4 linked regions of the Oryzias latipes genome follow. The main gene of each other region encodes a partner of the protein of the gene in region 2 in a complex. Links are inferred from orthologs where the notes say so. Each region holds a gene or a part of one and is shown on either strand. Other genes may lie near its edges.

Region 1 (4,274 bases), on a different chromosome or scaffold from region 2:
GAACTATGAAATGCGTGGGTCAATCCAACTCATTGACTGAATATGAGAACTGGACAGAGTAAGTGTGACGTCACTCACAGAAAATTGGCTTACTTCTGGTTCCAACCAATTGAAGTAACTTCAGTCACCATTTTTTGCAATGTGGACGTCGCCAGGTTGGGAGTCAGACAATGTTAGCAAGGAGTGATTGGTCTAAGACAATCAGAGTCAACATTGTTATGGCAACCACTCTCACAAATCCAGAGAGAGCTTGTTGAAAGGCCACACCCCTACCACTTAAAGCGGACTGCACAAAATCTGTTAATCAATCTTTGAACATGAGGCCACACGCTTTTATTGAGACCCATGATTGGTCAGTTTATAACATGATTAGCTTGTACTAAAGAAAAAATATTATTAGAAAAAATAGGATTATCAAGAACATGTTCAAAAAAGGTATCGGAGCAAGAATGGTTATTCTGACCAACAGAATGACTGATTAACAGCTGTTTATTTCTATATAGAAGTCTATAGGATTTTGGCTTCTTGGGGCCAGCGCGTACTTCCTGTTAGGAACACCAGGGGGAGGGGTCGGCAAGTCCAGTTCTCTTATACAGTCAATTGCCAAAATGTATTTGAACCATGTTTTTTTGGTTATTTTCAATATTGATGTTGAAGTCCCGCTCCTATCATCTTTTGATCTATTGCAAAAAGCATTCTCAGAAGTCTTTCTTTATGTTTATGCTGTTTTATGTGTAGTTTTCTATGGCATGGTTTCTGCAGAGCAGCAGGAGTTCATTAGAGATTCTCTGAGTTGACCAGTGGCACATAGCTAGCCCACCACCACTTCCCGTCACCAATCTGTTTACAGTCTCTCCAACTAGCTTAGAGCCTCTAACAACGCCAACCTAAAGGCCCGTTCACACCGGGACGAATTTCGCTGGCGATTTTCGCCGACGTTTAACGCCTCGTGACTAAACAAAGGGCACCAATGGGAGTGTGCACACCGACGCGAAAAAACGCCAGGCGTCAAAGCGTCAAAAAAAAAAACGCCTCGGGTTCGTTTTTTTTTTTTCGACGCGTCGCGTCGAAATCTATTCGACCAATGAGAATGGCGCTTTTGCACACATGTCTGGAGCTTCTGAAGTTACAGTAAAACACAACTTGGGGGCGCTCAAACACAAAACTGCCTTGCTGAGCACACATACCAGCGAAGAAGATAGACGCCAAGTAGCGTCTACACTGCTGCGAAGAAATAATGACGGACATTCTAAAATATCCCCGAACCAAGCACCAGTTGGAGCAACTGGTGCTTGAAATATTCATGTTTTCTTTGTTTGATTCTGACAAGCGCGTAAATACTTGCTCTCTTCTTCTGAGTGAAAAGCGACTTTAATAAGCGTAAAGTTGCGCAGCGCCACCTTGTGTACAGGAGTATTTCTGTTTACATTAAGCGCCATCTAATGTCAGGGAAGGAAATTGCATGTTCGCTCGGCTCATCGTCAGTGGAAATCGCCTGGGTGTGAACACAAAAAACGTGGCGAAAAACGCTGGCGAATAACGCCTGGCGAATATTCGTCCCGGTGTGTACGGGCCTTAACATGAGCACTGCGATAAAAATGGTGAGCAATATTGGCGCTGTCCAGCCATACAGTTTTGATCCAGATTCCAGCTCAGACAGGGAAAACAAAGATGTACATGGAACAAGTTGTCCATGAGTGGATGCATTAGAATGAGGAGGGGCAGGAAGCTTGTGGCTTTCTGCAGTAGCTTCAGTTACAACAAGCTTTTTCTAACAGCATTTCTTTGTCTGCTCCTGATTCACAACTACGTGAACACAGAAATACTCAGAAATACAGTTTTGAGCCTAATTTTCTTTATATATGTCCTCTATCATCAGACAAATGCCAGTGTTTTTTAGTGTTTGGGCACAACGCTAACTTTTTTTTTTTTGAAGAATCAGAAGTCGTGTCACATCTGAAAACACGAAGTTTGTTCACAGTGTTTAGTCTAAACACGGATGTTGACAGCTACAACAGGCAGATGACGGCGCTGAGCGCATGGGCAGCTGAGAAGAACACTTCACCATCAAGAAAACGGATTATGAGCACAGAAATCACTGTGATGACGTAACAGTTCCCACTGTAACAGCTGTAAATGATGTCTGACGGTCATTTCAGCTGAGGACACAGTCTTATCTGGGGAAAGTTCTCACAGGAAAAACACGCTCGTGTAAAACACACGACACAACTGAAACAAACACCACATGTCAGTAAATACAAATTTGTGTCGGAGTTTATCATTTTAAGAAGGTAGAAGTTAAACAATCGGATTAAAAAGTTCTGTGTACATTTATCAGATCATCATCATGTTTTGCGTTAGCAGCACCTTGTTTTCCTAACCAAAATGGCTCACTTAAACCAGCTGAATTACAACAAAATCCATTTCAGCTGCTCCAAAAAGTAGCAGGAGGATCTACAGACTGAAGTGATTCATACTTTATAAGCGTGTAACATGACAGGAACAGCTTACAGATCGCATTACAGTCGGTTAGCGGTGACTAAACTCAAGCTAACGATTATCTCTCCCGAGTCAGTTAGCAATAGCAGTGGTATGAACAGAAAGAAGATCCCACCTCTACGTTTTTCTGACGAGACACAGCAGAGTCCACGTCCCTCCATCTCATCCAGTCTACTTATTTGGCCGACGAGTCGTTACATCCGTGAAAAACAATTCAATGCATTAAAGTCTCAAAACAACCGAAAGCCAATGCAATCTGCTGCGCTCGTGCAACCAGGAAGACATCCTTTTGACTTCCGGTGTAATCTCTTCACAATAAAAGAGCCACCAAACGAAAAACACGCACAAGAGCAGTTCACTGACCGAGGCAGTGAAAGTAAAGGAACACTGAATTATATGCACCTTTATTCCTTACTAGTATTTCAGCGTTTACAAAATGTTGTGCACACATCCAAATGCACTTCACACTAGAAAGTGAAAAAATAAAGAAAAGTTAAAAAAGAGAGAGAGATGCCAGAGCAAGATAAAATTATGCTTTTGCAAGTTCAAAGTATCATCACATGAAATAGAAATGTGGCTGCAAAATCGTGCGATCATGAGTAAAAAGAATTATCGCAGCAAAAATTTGCAAGAACCTTTTCTATTTACATGGATATTTTTGAGATCTTCAAAGTTCTTCCATCTTTCCATTACACTTGTGGAACCTGTCAACAGATTTCCATCTCTCTCTTTAAAGACCCACTCTGGTGAAATTCTTATTTTTTGCCACAAGAACATGTTTTTGACATGTTCATGTTCTCATTTTTCTGATGATAGAGGACATCCATAATGAAAATTCAGCTTAAAATGGCATTTCTGAGTGTTTATTTATTCAAATTGTTTGGAATCAGGAGCAGTTTGAAGAAGACCACCCTCTACCACTACCCTTTTTCTTTTTATGTATCTTTGCCTGTGTGTCCTTCCATATACATAAATACTTACATTTTTTTGACTTGTAGTTGTTTTATTTTTTTATTCCTGTAGTTATTTGTGGATTTTTGTGGCCCATCACATTTAGGGGGCAGTCACTGTATTTAGGGGGGCATTGCCCCCCACTGCCTGTGCCTTTATCCAATCTTACAGTAAAAAAATTGGATCTACTGGTATTTGTCTGGATATATATATACACAAACATAAAAGTATATTTATGTAACCACATTGCAAACATTACCTAACAGAACTTTTTCGTCTGCTCCTGATTCACAACAATTTGAATAAAGAAATACAAAAAAATGCAGTTTTGAGCTAAATGTTCTCTATACATTTCCTCAATCATCAGAGAAATGTTAAAAGAACACGTTAAAACCAAACACAATTATCATTGGCTTGAACCTTTTCAGCCCCACAGTATGGTTTGCTTTGAGGATGCAAAAATGCTTTCTCCACAATCCGCTTTAATGATGAAACCACGTGGTAAAATGAGTTTTAAAGCATCCCTATTCTGCGCTGTGTTTTGTTCCTGAATTTCTTTTTCCTCATTTGTCTGCGTCCCCCTTATAAACCATAGAACAAATGAATCGGAGCCTGTAAAGTGGAAGGTTTTCTGCGAGGCGTCCACTGAAGAGCATCGTAGCAGTCGGTGGGAGGGGGCGGAGCTATCTGCGGTCAGCAGCGGATCTCGCTGTGGGCCCTCGCTCTGGGTTTAGCTACACGAAACCGGAAACACACCATGTAAATATTAACACTTCAGCTAAAGTTCAGGATCACTCTGTTGGTTTCAGGGCGGCAACATGTTT
Region 2 (4,200 bases):
TAATTGACTAGAAACACTAAGGTTTTATAGAATATAATACTTCATCTCAATAGGCGTACCCCAGGGTTCCGTACAGGGACCTCTTTAGATTTTTTTATTTAAGACAACATAATGTGGAAAATCCAAACTATTCTGTAAGTCATGACATCATGACACCAAGGACTCACCAATGAACAGATAAAAGCTTGTTATTTTTAACACCATGTGAAACTTCCATGCTTCTTCCTCATTGCATTTTGTTTTTTTCAAAAAACCCTAAACCCACTTTCAGTTCTTTTTTTATTTCACCAAAACGTTAGTAGACAGTCTGGTAGTTATTTTACTAACACGGATTTTGAGTTAGTGCTAACCTTCAGTTATAAGAAAACTGTTACTCAAAATAAAGCTAAAAACATTTTGTTTTTAACGTAATAAGTTACAATCTCATTAATAAAAAAATCCACTTTTCCTCAGCTCAAATCACTAGTTATGTGAAAACACCTTTTCATATTTAAAGATAAAATGATTATTTAAATGATAAATAATAAATCAAAATGTGTTGAATTGGAAATTGAATAGAGTTGTGAACTTAAAATTGTATTAAATTCCTTGTTTTGGCAGCGGTACCCAGCCATAGTGACTTCCACTCATCATCCCTGCCAGGTGACAAAAACACAAAACTAAGTCTTTGTGGTTGTTTTACAGCAAAACAGTTGGTCTTCATAATCAACCTCCTCAGTTATCGCCTCCCAAGATGCTCCAACATTTTTGAAACAACAGAAAAGAGGGACTGGAAAAGAAGCAGGACTGGGTTTGGAGAGTCCTGAAGTTTGTAAATGCTTCATTTCTGAACAGATATCTTGGTTTTTCCCAATTTGCATTTTCTATGGCTTTTTTTTTATCTTTTACTTTAAGACACTTACCATGTTTCTATAAAGTCTGACGTACAACACAAACAAAAAAGCTACAACACAACTCTTTAAAGACCGAATCCCATGATCTTGTGGCATTTTCTAATGATGGAGAACATTTCTATTGAAAATTCAGCTTAAAATGTCATTTTTTTCAGTATTTCAAATTGTTGTGAATCAGAAGCAACTGAAAAAAAAGCAGTTTGAAAAATATCACGTCAATGTACATGCTCAGTTTTCCTCGTCTGAGCTGGAATCTGGCTCCAAACTGTACAGCTGGATGGCTTCAATATTGCTCGCCATTTTTGTCGCACCTGTAATGTCAGGTTGGGGGTGTGAGGCTAGCAGGACATCGTGTAAACTGATAACTCTCAGTTATGATGGGAAAGGGGGTGGGGGTTGCTCTGTGCCAACAGTCCCGCTTCCAACTCAGAGGCGAATTTGTAATGAACTCCTGCTGCTCTGCAGAAACTACATCCTAGAAAACAACACTGTTTTTTTTTTGTTTTTTTGGCTAAGTATGGCATAATTATAACTAAAAAGACCACTGGGAATACTTTTAAAATAGATCACAAGATGATTGCAGTTGGACTTTAAGGGGGATTATGGACCACAAATAAATCAAACATCACTGAAACCTGCAACAAATATTTTGAAATCTCTGAGACAAATGAAGAACGTGCAATTAATTTTAAAATGACAGACAGAGCAAAGCGACTGTTAGGAATGAATAGTTATTCTATGCTTGAGAGATACGGTGTTTTATCCACAGACCAACACTGGTAGGAGCATGTCAGCAAACATCTACTGTTGTCCATTCAACTTTTGGTTCCTCTCCCTGCCTCTGCAGGAACCTCTGAGGGCAGAATGTGTGTTCATTTGGCTCTCTCATTCACAAAAACCAAACTACCGTTCCAACTGAAACAAGTAACTTTCAGAAACTGATTTCACTGACGTTACAGGCTGAAGGAAAGCCTCTGAAGTCCCGTTTTCTGCTGAAGTGACATCGCTTTCATTGAGGCAGTTCCTGTAGTTCTTATAAGTCAGGTTTAAAGCTCTGCTGTGAAATCCCCTTCTTACAATACAAACAACGTCACATGCTAACAGTAAATAAACATCGAGGTATTTGACATTAGTTCAAAAAAGGGGTATGATCTCAGGGGGATTTACACCTGGATGACGTCTTCATAACAGGTTAGGTGGGAACACGCCTGCTGCTCAGCTGTGAAGAACTCTGCCCCAAGGCTGACGGAGCAAACGGGAGCTGGAGGGTCCAGTTAGCTTAATGCTATCTGTCCTCGCGCGCTTCAGTCAGCCCGTGTCCAGTCGCCGTCACTTCTCCTACAGCCTCCCACGGCTTTCTGAGCGCTAACTTAAACGTATCCACTGCGAACCCCGCAGAACACCGAGACGGAAGGGGTGTACAGACCCAGCGAGCAGCTGCATACCGAGTCGGTGCGGCGGGATTATCAGCCCGGACAGGGGAAGCTCTCCGTCTTCTCCGGGCGATGACAGAGAAGGTCGCGCAAATAATCCTCGCGAGGAAGTTGTAGGGCAGCGTCCACAGCCGATACAGGAGGTCGAACCCGTCGAAGGCGAGCTGGACGGGGGTGTGCTTGCAGGGGAATGTTCGGCTCCTCTCCCCGCGGCTCTTCGCTATGGGAAGGGGTTGGAGACGAGGCCCATCTTCACACGGACAGTCTGCCACAGCCACGCTAAGCACCAGCAAAACTTATAGATGACGGTGGTCCTGCCTTGTTCCTCTACAAGCCAGCGACCATGCGAGCCGATTCGGCGCGATAATTCTGTCAGAAATCACAAAAAATCCTAAAAACTTCTCCGGAGAGGCACTGCTTCAGCACTACGGCAAGGGCGCAGCCATCTTGGGTAGGACCCAGAATGCACCGTTAAACGCCACCGTTGCTTTTCCTGTGACGCTAAAAATAAAATAAATAACTGGACCACTGTTCAATTATCTTTAGTAAAGAAAAGTACTATTCTAAATAACGTTTTAAAAAGGAAAAACAATTAACAACAATAATTATAAAAAAAAAGTAATATTTTTTACCATCGTGTAAACTTCCGGTTTTGGATTGCCGTCCAATTATTATGGGGTAAGAAAAAAGGCTAACAAATAAAATATTGAATTTGTTTTATTAAAATATGTAGCCATTCATAAACACATTTTAAAAGTTGAACGTCACAAAGCCAGCCCCCCCCCTCCCCCTAAATGTTGATTTTTTTTTTTTTTGTTGTTGCGTAAATTAAACATTTTGTTAACTTTGTGAGGCTTAGTAATAAAATTTAAAAAGTTCAGCACACAATAACTAATAAGCACTGTTGAAGATTTTAACAGGCAAAATTTTATCAAGCAACGAATGTTTGCAGTGAACAGCATTAAACTTACAATCAGTATGAAGATACTAATTTGTATCAATAACTCTTGTGGTATCTTGTGGGGTCCAGATGACCCCACCCTTACATTGGCGTGTTATTCCTACCATGACAGAGGTGGATAAAGGTGAAGAGGATTTCATGAATCTGTTTACACCAGTGAAGATCAAAAATCATGGAAGAAAAACCTGGAAAACCTTCAAACAAATGTGAAAATTTTAGACCAATAACCTGACCTTGAAATAATCTGTAAAGTCTTATCAACACAACTACAGAATACATTGCCAAGCATTATTGATAGAGACCAAAATGGATTTATATCTGCAAGGCAAGGATTTCACAATGTGAGAAGAGTTTGAAATATTATTCATTATAGCACAAATAAAGCATAAACAGGTTTACGAGCACTGGATGCTCAAAAGGCCTTTGACAAGGTCCATTGGCCTTTTCTCTTTAAGGTCATGGACAAATGTGGATGTGGAACCAACTTAAAAATGTGGGTCCAGATCATTTACAAAAATGCCATGGCAAAAATCTTGACAAACAGGAACACTTCACAGTCAATAAACATAACAAAAGGCTGCAGGCAAAGGTGTCCATTATCACCTATGCTATTTACAATGCAATCGAACCACTACCAATAGCAATACACTCCCATACAGGGCTACATAGAATCGGAGTGGGTCCAGTAGAACACAAAATAGCTTTACAGTATATGCAGATGATGTGATTGTGTTTCTCTCTCAAATAAAAAAGTCAATTCGTTCTTTAATGGAAATAATCAGAAAATATGGAGATGTCTCTGGATATAGAGTGAACCAAACAAAATCCTCTATTTTATTACATAATGAAGAAGAAAGAAAAACCCAACTTCTGAAACAATTCTGTTGTGTGGTGAAACCTTTTCCTGTCATTT
Region 3 (4,231 bases), on a different chromosome or scaffold from region 2:
CTGGAACACTCCTGATCTGATGAAAATGAGCTCTTTATGTCTAAACTTTCTTGCTGCTGACTGATGAGGCATTGTTGGTGTCTGTGTTCCGTTTGATGCCACTACATGAAGGCACACTTTATCATCAGCAAATAGGTTTTAGACCTTGAATAGAATAAAAAAAAAGGCTTGTGATCTTCAGGCATTAATATGAGTATCAAAGACAGACATTTTTAACCCAGATTCTAAAAGAGATCACTTTTCCTCCAAAGAAATGATGATGGGATAAGAGGAGACGTTCCAGATACTCCATTCACAGCATTGGATCCACCTATATATCCATTTCAAACTGCGCATCGTCACCTAGAAAAAGCACACAAAAATTATACTTTAACTTTCTAAAATTCAGGAGGCAACAAGGACGTTGACAGACAATGTTTTCAGTCAAAATAAACAATCTTGCTTCAAGATTAAGGTGCATCAACTTGCTTATTCTTCTTTAAGCATTTAGCTACCAAATTCTACATTTAGTAGAAAAACCCCAACTAGAATACATCTAATTATGTATGCTATATTGCAAGACTAAGTTTTTTTTTCTTTTACAAGCAGACAAGAAACTTTATTACACTGGAAATTGCACCACTACATGCATTTGGCCTAAAATAACTCCATGTTCTACCTATTGTGGATGGATTCATTAAATGTTATACACAACACTATGCTGGAGCAAAATGCCAAATTTGACTCTTTTAAATACTTTGGTCAGACTATGATTTGTGAACATACCTGCACTGCTACTGTCAGCCGCAGGCGTGTCTATGTTCACTACTTCTCCATTAAGGGTCTTCTTGTTGAACTCTTTGGTTGGAGGACTGGTCACCCCTGGAATGCTGGGAAGGCCTCGTGGAGGAGTCTTTGCCAAAGGAGAGCTCCGACACTCCAGCAAGAACTTCCGGTCGTAGATGATCCGAGTACCTGTTTGTGCAGAAACGCTTTGTGCGTCAGAACATTTTTTCAATTGTCCGCTTTTCCAGAAAAATGGCTTTGGAATGAATAAGTTAAGTGAAACATAGAACACAAAAGACAACTGATAATCATTAAGCTAGATCAAAAGTGCACCCAGCAGTTTAAAAAAGCTAACATAATTTCAGGTGTATTCAGGTTAGACGATCAAGACTGATTTATCAGAAAAATGCTTTTTTTTGGCTCACATCTCTAAGGAATTCCACATAAAAAGGCAGTAAAAATCATTAAACTAGTGTGTATATCAATGCAAATGATTAAAAATAACATTTCAAATAATTTTACTTCCATTTACTTCAACCACCCCACTCAGGTGGACACCTTTCTCAAGCAACACAAAAACGGAGCTACCGCTTATTTCCAGCAATTATTAACCTGATGCACATGCTCCCCTGTTCTTTAGAAATAGCATGCAATGTGCTGCCACACAGTGTGAACCCTGTAGTTTTACCAAACGAGAAAGAAAACACAACATGACCCATTTACTTCCGTCGTTTTGAACAAATAAAGCAATTATTTTAAGTACATACATAAATGCTTTGAAGTGTTAAAATATGACTTTTAAGATCAACATTAAAATCTGGAATCTTGGTTTGGACACATTTAATTTAAGTATTTCAGGATCCGACTCTAATGGTTCAGATGTAATGTGTACATCATATCGCCATTGGGATCAGGTCATCTGTGTACCAATGTAGTACACAGTGTACAATACAGAGACAATAATAAACAGCCAGTGGGATTATAAAAAATAAATATATGTAAAGAATGACAGATAAATAGTTTTGAGAGGCTTGTTGCTGGTGGAATATCATGTTGGTTTTGTATAAAAGTTACACCTTCAATGAACTGTGGAAAATATTATTACATTTACGTGTAACAGTACAAGGTTTGGAAGGGCGGAGTCTGATGTTTAAGCCCACCCCTTCCAGCTCGTGTTTTTATAAATCCTGCCCCTCTAAGGCCGAGGCCCACCCCTGACCCGTAAATCCCTTCACATCTTAAGCTCCGCCCACATGCTATTCTGTCCAGCTTTAGCAACAAGTACAGCCAGAGCTAAAAGAAAGCAAGAAACCCAAGATAAACACTTCAAACACAAGCAGACAATTTGAGCAGAATAAAGATATGTAACAATATGTCAAATTTTTAAAATGCATACGACTGAGTTACTTTAAACTAGCTTAAAATAAACACCCGCTAGCTAGCATTAGCAGCTAGCTTAACTGCAAGCTATCAGCTGGCTGTACAGTAGCGATGATCTAAAAGGATGTGGGTCCCATGTGGCGTGAATCTGAGTAAATCTTCGCACATGCGTGTTTTGTGTTGGAAAAAGACTTGAAATTTCTATACATACCACCCGGTGTGGTGCTGAACAGGGTCCCTCCGGGGGTAGTGGAGTAGTCGTGGGGCATGTGATCAGCGTTGTTGATGGTTACTCTCTTTGTGGACGGAATGGCCTTAGCAGTTGTTTTCTGGCATTCGGTGGACATCTTTTCTTAGGACTCTTGTACTAAAACTATCTAACTAAATAATATGCCACGAAAAGAAATTCTGGGCGTCCCAGGGCAAAGCCAGATAGTTATTTGGCTCAAAAGAACGGCTGCCTTTGATAAATAAAAATAAATACCTCTTTTTCATAAGTGCAAATTATCACCACACGCGCTCTCACAAACAGGAGGTGTCGATAATCTTTGTTAAAAGAACCTCAGGACACACGCTCCTCCACTTCCACATGCATACAAAACAACAGACAGGCAAGGTAGACAGACAGATGACTGCAGGGAAAAATGCTATCCAGAAAACGTCTACGCCCTCTACTGGTGACTGGCGCTACTGCACCAGCGTTAAAAAAATAATCAAATGTAGAATTGATTTTGTAGTTTCAATCCAAAGGGATCTATAAAAACAAAAAAAACATATTCACTTTTACAGCAAATTGCGCACATTTAGTGTGGATTAGTTAGGACTCTAGTCATTTTTGTGAACTTGTACGAGGTTCATCTTGGTTTCTATAAACAAGTTGTGAATCAAGCTGGGTGCTTCTCCCTCATGGCCCTACAACATACAGAGTTCAGCAATCCAGAATAAATATAGACTAGAATAAATATTTAGGCTGATTAGCAGCGTAAAATCTGTTAGTAGTTTAGTTTAAACATGATATTTTAGTGCTTGCACTTAACAAAAAAGGAGATACCTTGGCATTTCCAATAGTTTGAAACCTAGAAGATTTTGTTTTGTGCACCTCTAAAAATCTTATGCACCTGAATGTGTTTTGCAGATTATTTTTGGGAAAAAATGTTTAAATTGGTTAGTTATTTAGTCTGATAAGATAGAATTGTTTGTGATTTTCAGTTGTGGAAACATACAAAGCTCATTGCATACATGTTAAGATCATTGCTTAATTGATGTGTCATGGAGTACCTTAAACAAAAGCAAACTCACCATACACAAAGACATTTCATTTCTTTATTAATTTTGTAAATGTTGAGCTGGTGTACAGAGTAAATTGTCAATAGATGTCCTTGTATTTTGATTGGATTAAAAGGATTTTACAAGTACATTTTAAATCCATCTTTGACTCTCCATGAAAATAAAAAAAGGAAGCAAAACTAGTTAAAATACCCACAATACCCCTATTTGTCCCAGTGTTGCAGGCATTACCCAGAACTCAACAGTCTCTTGGTAGCTACAGCTGTATGATGCTAAAAGTACATCCATAACATAACTAGAATCCCATTTGACAAGTAAGGGTGCATAGCATTCTAAATAAATATATATGTTTATATATTTCATTTTATATATATATATATATATATATATATATATATATATATATATATATATATATATATATATATATATATATATATATATATACTCTTTTCATTTTTAAAAACATCTTCTGTGCATGTGTGCAGTTGCATTCCTTAGTATAGAGTAATATTACTGCAATAATGTCTCCAAACCATTCTAAAGGAATATACACGTATTCTCTAGTTTTTGCAAGTTTATATTTTTGCATGAATTTGGTGCATGGTATCGCCTTAGCCCTCAAGTGCAGGACTGTCGAGTTTTTCCTCTTTCACGACCACGACTCCCTTTGCTTGCGTTCATTGGATTCCTTTCTTTGCACATTCAAACAGTCGCCATTTTGGAAGTCTCAGTCTCACATTTGGTATGAGGGCAGACGAAAATTGCGGGAAGGCTGCTTTGAGGAAGACGCTTGTCG
Region 4 (4,249 bases), on a different chromosome or scaffold from region 2:
TATTCTAGTTGAATAGAAGCTTATGATGCATTTCTATCCCCAGAGCTTTTTTTTTTTTTTAATCTAAACTGTGGTATAAACCTCAGCAGGTCAGCAGCTACATTTCAGAGGAAGAGTAGTTGATCAGTCATTCAATATATCTACAGTCATCTTCCTTAAAAAGCTGCATGTGGAGCAAAAAAATGCTGCAGCATTCTTACCTTTATGAAGTTGTTCAGGTGGCCCAGTTTTCGCATGTTGCTAACTCCGTGTGGTTTAGCCACATTTTGAAGAATTTCCCGGAAGTTTTCTGATGGTTCTAGAGGGAAACAAAAAGACCATTTCAGTGGACAAAATAGCTCTGTGGTTACAGGAGAAAAGGAAAGGGCTATCAATTAGTTTACTAGTTTTACGTTTATGCAGTCAAAACTAGACCTTTATAGCAAAAAGCAAAGTCGAGCAAGTTAGACTTTGCTTTCCAACAATTCATCTAATGTTAATTATTTGATAAAATATTAAAACACTTGCGAGGTTATTTCATATGTAGACATCTAATATCTGTAGAAACTAATGTCAGATATACCAATCAATGAAGAAATCCATTTCACAAACACGTAAATAGACCATCCTAATCCCAGATTATGTTTTAAATTGTCTTATATTATCTCTCCATAAAAAAAACTGATATTTTAACAAGATTTAGAACTTCAAATACAAAGGGGGAAAAATCCGTACAGCTACAAAACAAAACAATAGAATACCACGAAAATGGTTTAACTGAGGTTGACATTTAAGAAGATTTCCTATATGATGCTAAGATAAAAGTATCAAAAGCAAAAAGGCAAACAAGCACTGGTGTATAAATATACCTTAAACTTTAGCTTCTTATCCGTGAAGCAAAAATCGATCAATCGTTTAAGAAACAGTGGTGTTATTGCATTATAAACGTTCCTGGGGGGTAATCCAGGAAGCATGTTTAAACTACCCTGACTTTAACCCTGAACTCTGGCTGAAATCTCAAATTTACATATTTTTCTAACTAAATGTCATATTACTCCAATTCAATTAAATGTCTTTCCATCTTAATTTATTGTATTTCTTGAACTCTCATATGTCTACATTTGAGCCTGTAGATATTCTCATTTTTATAACATTAAAATGAATGAAACAATATAGATTCACAACACAAAACTTAAAGTCATTTATCCTTTCTCTGACTTTGACATTACAACACTGAGCAGTAGGGGTGCTAAATAACCTCATCATTCTCTCCCTCCCTCTCACTCATGGTGCAGAAAGAATTAAACACAACAGGACAAATAACTCGGAAATACACAGTAAAACAGATAAACAACTAAACACATTTGGTCAAAAACCCACACTTAAACCCAAATCCGTCCAGACAGGCAAAGGGAATGGTATCCCACAATTCCTTGCAGCGCCGATCTAACAGCAGCACCAAAGTTACACCTACTTAATTGAATTAATTTGAATTAAAGTAAAATAACTGTCTGATAACTTAGTGTTCTTTTTAAGCTCATGTAACAAAAAGAATGTATCTTAACTGAAGCAAATAATTAAGTTAGATTAATGTAAAAAAGTTCATCTTTCCAACATCCATACGTGGTCTTATCACCCTCTCATGGTGGAAAAAGTATTATCTGAGCTTCTTCATCCACTAAATCATCTTCAAATGGACACTGCATGCTCCTTCACCTCTCTGAAACCAACTAACCTTCAACTAAACCTGCTCCAGACCAGGTTATGTTCAGAGCATGAGTTGCTATAGCAACTTCACATACCCTGAAACATACCACTGTTTTTGGAACCAAAAGCTGAGGCTATCCGCTTCCTTAGCCTCAAACTTATCGTGGTAAATAGCATAACCTACTTTCTGGAATACCCCCCATCAATGGTTGAGTTTGTTCCAGTAAGATACGTTTTATATAAAAACCTAAGCTGACAAAAAACACAAACTATGTTCGTAATCGTTTTCCTAATTTAGGACCGAAATGTTTCCATCAGAACTCGTTGATCGTGCTTTTATCGTGAGTCAAGTGTGCCTAGCAGCCGCAAAAGGTTCCAAACAAAGAAAACAGCCGCTGGTTGGTGTAAACAAACAAGCAGACAGTGCTGTTGCTAGATGAGCAAATTTAACTCGGCTGAGCTGTGAATAAAAAAAAAAAAGCCCGTATGTGCATTGCTCAGCAAACCGGCTTAAGCTCAGGGTTTCTGACAGCCAGCGGAGCCTCGTGTATTAATGCAACTCTAATGGCTGTCTCGCTAAATAGCAGGCTCTGCAGCCCACTCACGCCTACCAAAACAACAGCGCATCGTCATGACTGGTTAGCTGTGGCAGCCAGCTAACGCTAAATCAGCTAGCTAGTTAGCTCCCTCTCGCCTGTTTATAGCCACAAAGGAAGATTTTTGAACAAAACAACAACAAATAAAACGTTTAATTAAAAATGCATCCACGTGGCAATCTCGTGGTTCATTTAGAGGTTCGTATATTTTGTGCATAAAGTCAACCATAATCCATTTTGAGCAATAATAGCTTTTAGAATGATGAGCCTCTGCTTACCTCTACTCAGATCCAGCGGTACGTTCTCCTCCCCGCTGTCATTCCGCCCTGACAAAAACAAACGCAACGGAAACGCTGAAGGACAAATTCAATGCTATGTTTTGTGGGAGACGTGCTCTTATTGCAATACGCTGCCATTCCAACAAATTATGAGCTGAGTTTTTCACGCTTACCTCGCATCCGAAGACTCCGGATAGGACGGCCGCGGAAGCTGGCCGCCATGTTTCCAGGAACATACACAACACCGGAAACTTCGCGGAATGTCGCGAGAACACGGACATCAAACGCAAATCGCTGCGGTGCAAATCACAGATCTGGGATCAGGCGAATCCCAGTTAATCCCTTAACCTCCAACGGCAATGAAAAAATAATCTGACCTGGCGACTGAACGACAGAAATAAACAGTTTAGTTAGCAGCAGTATTCGAGTTTTAATTGCAAATGTAATATTTATTTATTAATATTTTTCAGCATGACCAATTTGCTAAATTTGTTTTTATAAAAACAAATCTTAGTTTTTTTGTTTGAGTTTGTGTCATGGTTCATGTTTTCATGTATGATTGGGATTTAGTGACAGGAATAATTTGTGCAAAATGTTTTGTAATATGGTTTAAACGTATGTTTTTATCCTAACTTTAGGGAAATATTTAAGTTGAAAACAAAAAATAATATGTTCTAACTTGATTTAAGGCAAGTTGTGTTATGTTAAAGTTATTGTTACAAATAGGAAATATTCAAAGAATAAATAACAATAATAAGTACAACACAAGTAGTGCACATAATGGACCTGCTTAGAGGATTTGGACATCACTGCAGCTCCTTTTTCTGCACACATATCAGCAAAAACATAATTCTTTCATCTTCTCAGAGACTATTTTTGTTCAAACCCAAAGGGATTTTTGTTGCATTAGCCTGCTTAAATGATTTTGCAATTACAGAAAGACCTTGACCTACTTTTTCATTCCAACCTCATGAGTCTTGATCATGAGTCTTGATGTCTGTCGCTGTATAGTTTATGACAGCTGGTCCCACAGAGCTTGTTACTTGAGTTCATAGAAGTGTACTCTAAACGATGAACAATACATGAATTATTTTTAGCTTCTCTCTTGAGTAAAAAACGTGTTTGTTTTTACTAACGTTGTGATACCAAAGACTTCTTTCATGCAAAAAATTCAAGACGTGTAAATTACAGAATAACTGGTTCATTAAAAAACAGAGGTACCAAAAGTAAAAGACGAATGTTTCAACATTTTCAGTTGTTATATTATCATTTTTTTTTAAAAGCTGCAAGAAAACTCAGGTTGCTATGACCACATTAACCACTAGATGGCGCTAATGCTTTACGAACACAAACCAAGACAGAAAAAAGATGGCCACTTAACCGGATAATGATAAATCATGTTATAAAATGGTTACGGTAGAACAGGGGTGGGTTTATATAAGTTCGCTTCCTTCCACTCCCTTTCAAGCAATATTTATTTATATGATTAATTATCCAAAGTTTGATTAGTTGTGGTACGAATCTATAACTGATGATTGTATTGTTTTTATGTATTATTCCTATTTGATTGCTTGAAATGAACCATTTCAATTCAATTCAACTTTGGAAATGTGTTGAAAAATCACTAATCCTTCCTCTTGAATGTTTATCACAAAACCTATTTATATTATGTTCACAGATATGTCTTCA

Evidence for each region.
Region 1: rptor (region 2) and mapkap1 share a complex: the UniProt entries of both Homo sapiens proteins name them as parts of the mechanistic target of rapamycin complex. The link is inferred for Oryzias latipes from reciprocal best matches to the Homo sapiens genes RPTOR and MAPKAP1.
Region 3: the proteins of rptor (region 2) and eif4ebp1 are in contact, whole or in part, in a cryo-EM structure (PDB 6BCX), measured with the Homo sapiens proteins. The link is inferred for Oryzias latipes from reciprocal best matches to the Homo sapiens genes RPTOR and EIF4EBP1. Residues at the interface, in NP_065812.1 of Homo sapiens: Arg54, Arg305, Thr317, Asp321, Phe337, Arg338, Leu341, Ala344, Arg348, Leu437, Gln438, Leu440, Leu441, Ser442, Gln443, Arg446, Tyr475, Lys478, Leu479, Gln481; in NP_004086.1 of Homo sapiens: Glu111, Ser112, Gln113, Phe114, Glu115, Met116, Asp117, Ile118.
Region 4: rptor (region 2) and rictor share a complex: the UniProt entries of both Homo sapiens proteins name them as parts of the mechanistic target of rapamycin complex. The link is inferred for Oryzias latipes from reciprocal best matches to the Homo sapiens genes RPTOR and RICTOR.

What each region holds. Positions count from the first base shown.
Region 1 is NC_019870.2:25,040,403-25,044,676, reverse strand, and holds the start of mapkap1 (target of rapamycin complex 2 subunit MAPKAP1), read right to left. Parts: upstream 2,801-4,274; 5' UTR 2,615-2,800; intron 1-2,614. UniProt on the Homo sapiens protein: Component of the mechanistic target of rapamycin complex 2 (mTORC2), which transduces signals from growth factors to pathways involved in proliferation, cytoskeletal organization, lipogenesis and anabolic output.
Region 2 is NC_019859.2:4,711,558-4,715,757, forward strand, and holds the start of rptor (regulatory-associated protein of mTOR), read right to left. Parts: upstream 2,801-4,200; 5' UTR 2,337-2,800; coding exon 2,320-2,336; intron 2,235-2,319; exon of another isoform or gene 2,080-2,234; coding exon of another isoform or gene 2,063-2,079; intron 1-2,062. UniProt on the Homo sapiens protein: Component of the mechanistic target of rapamycin complex 1 (mTORC1), an evolutionarily conserved central nutrient sensor that stimulates anabolic reactions and macromolecule biosynthesis to promote cellular biomass generation and growth.
Region 3 is NC_019867.2:12,547,796-12,552,026, reverse strand, and holds the start of eif4ebp1 (eukaryotic translation initiation factor 4E-binding protein 1), read right to left. Parts: upstream 2,801-4,231; 5' UTR 2,493-2,800; coding exon 2,357-2,492; intron 955-2,356; coding exon 766-954; intron 343-765; coding exon 311-342; 3' UTR 1-310. UniProt on the Homo sapiens protein: Repressor of translation initiation that regulates EIF4E activity by preventing its assembly into the eIF4F complex: hypophosphorylated form competes with EIF4G1/EIF4G3 and strongly binds to EIF4E, leading to repress translation.
Region 4 is NC_019867.2:18,765,701-18,769,949, forward strand, and holds the start of rictor (rapamycin-insensitive companion of mTOR), read right to left. Parts: upstream 2,801-4,249; 5' UTR 2,783-2,800; coding exon 2,734-2,782; intron 2,609-2,733; coding exon 2,561-2,608; intron 299-2,560; coding exon 201-298; intron 1-200. UniProt on the Homo sapiens protein: Component of the mechanistic target of rapamycin complex 2 (mTORC2), which transduces signals from growth factors to pathways involved in proliferation, cytoskeletal organization, lipogenesis and anabolic output.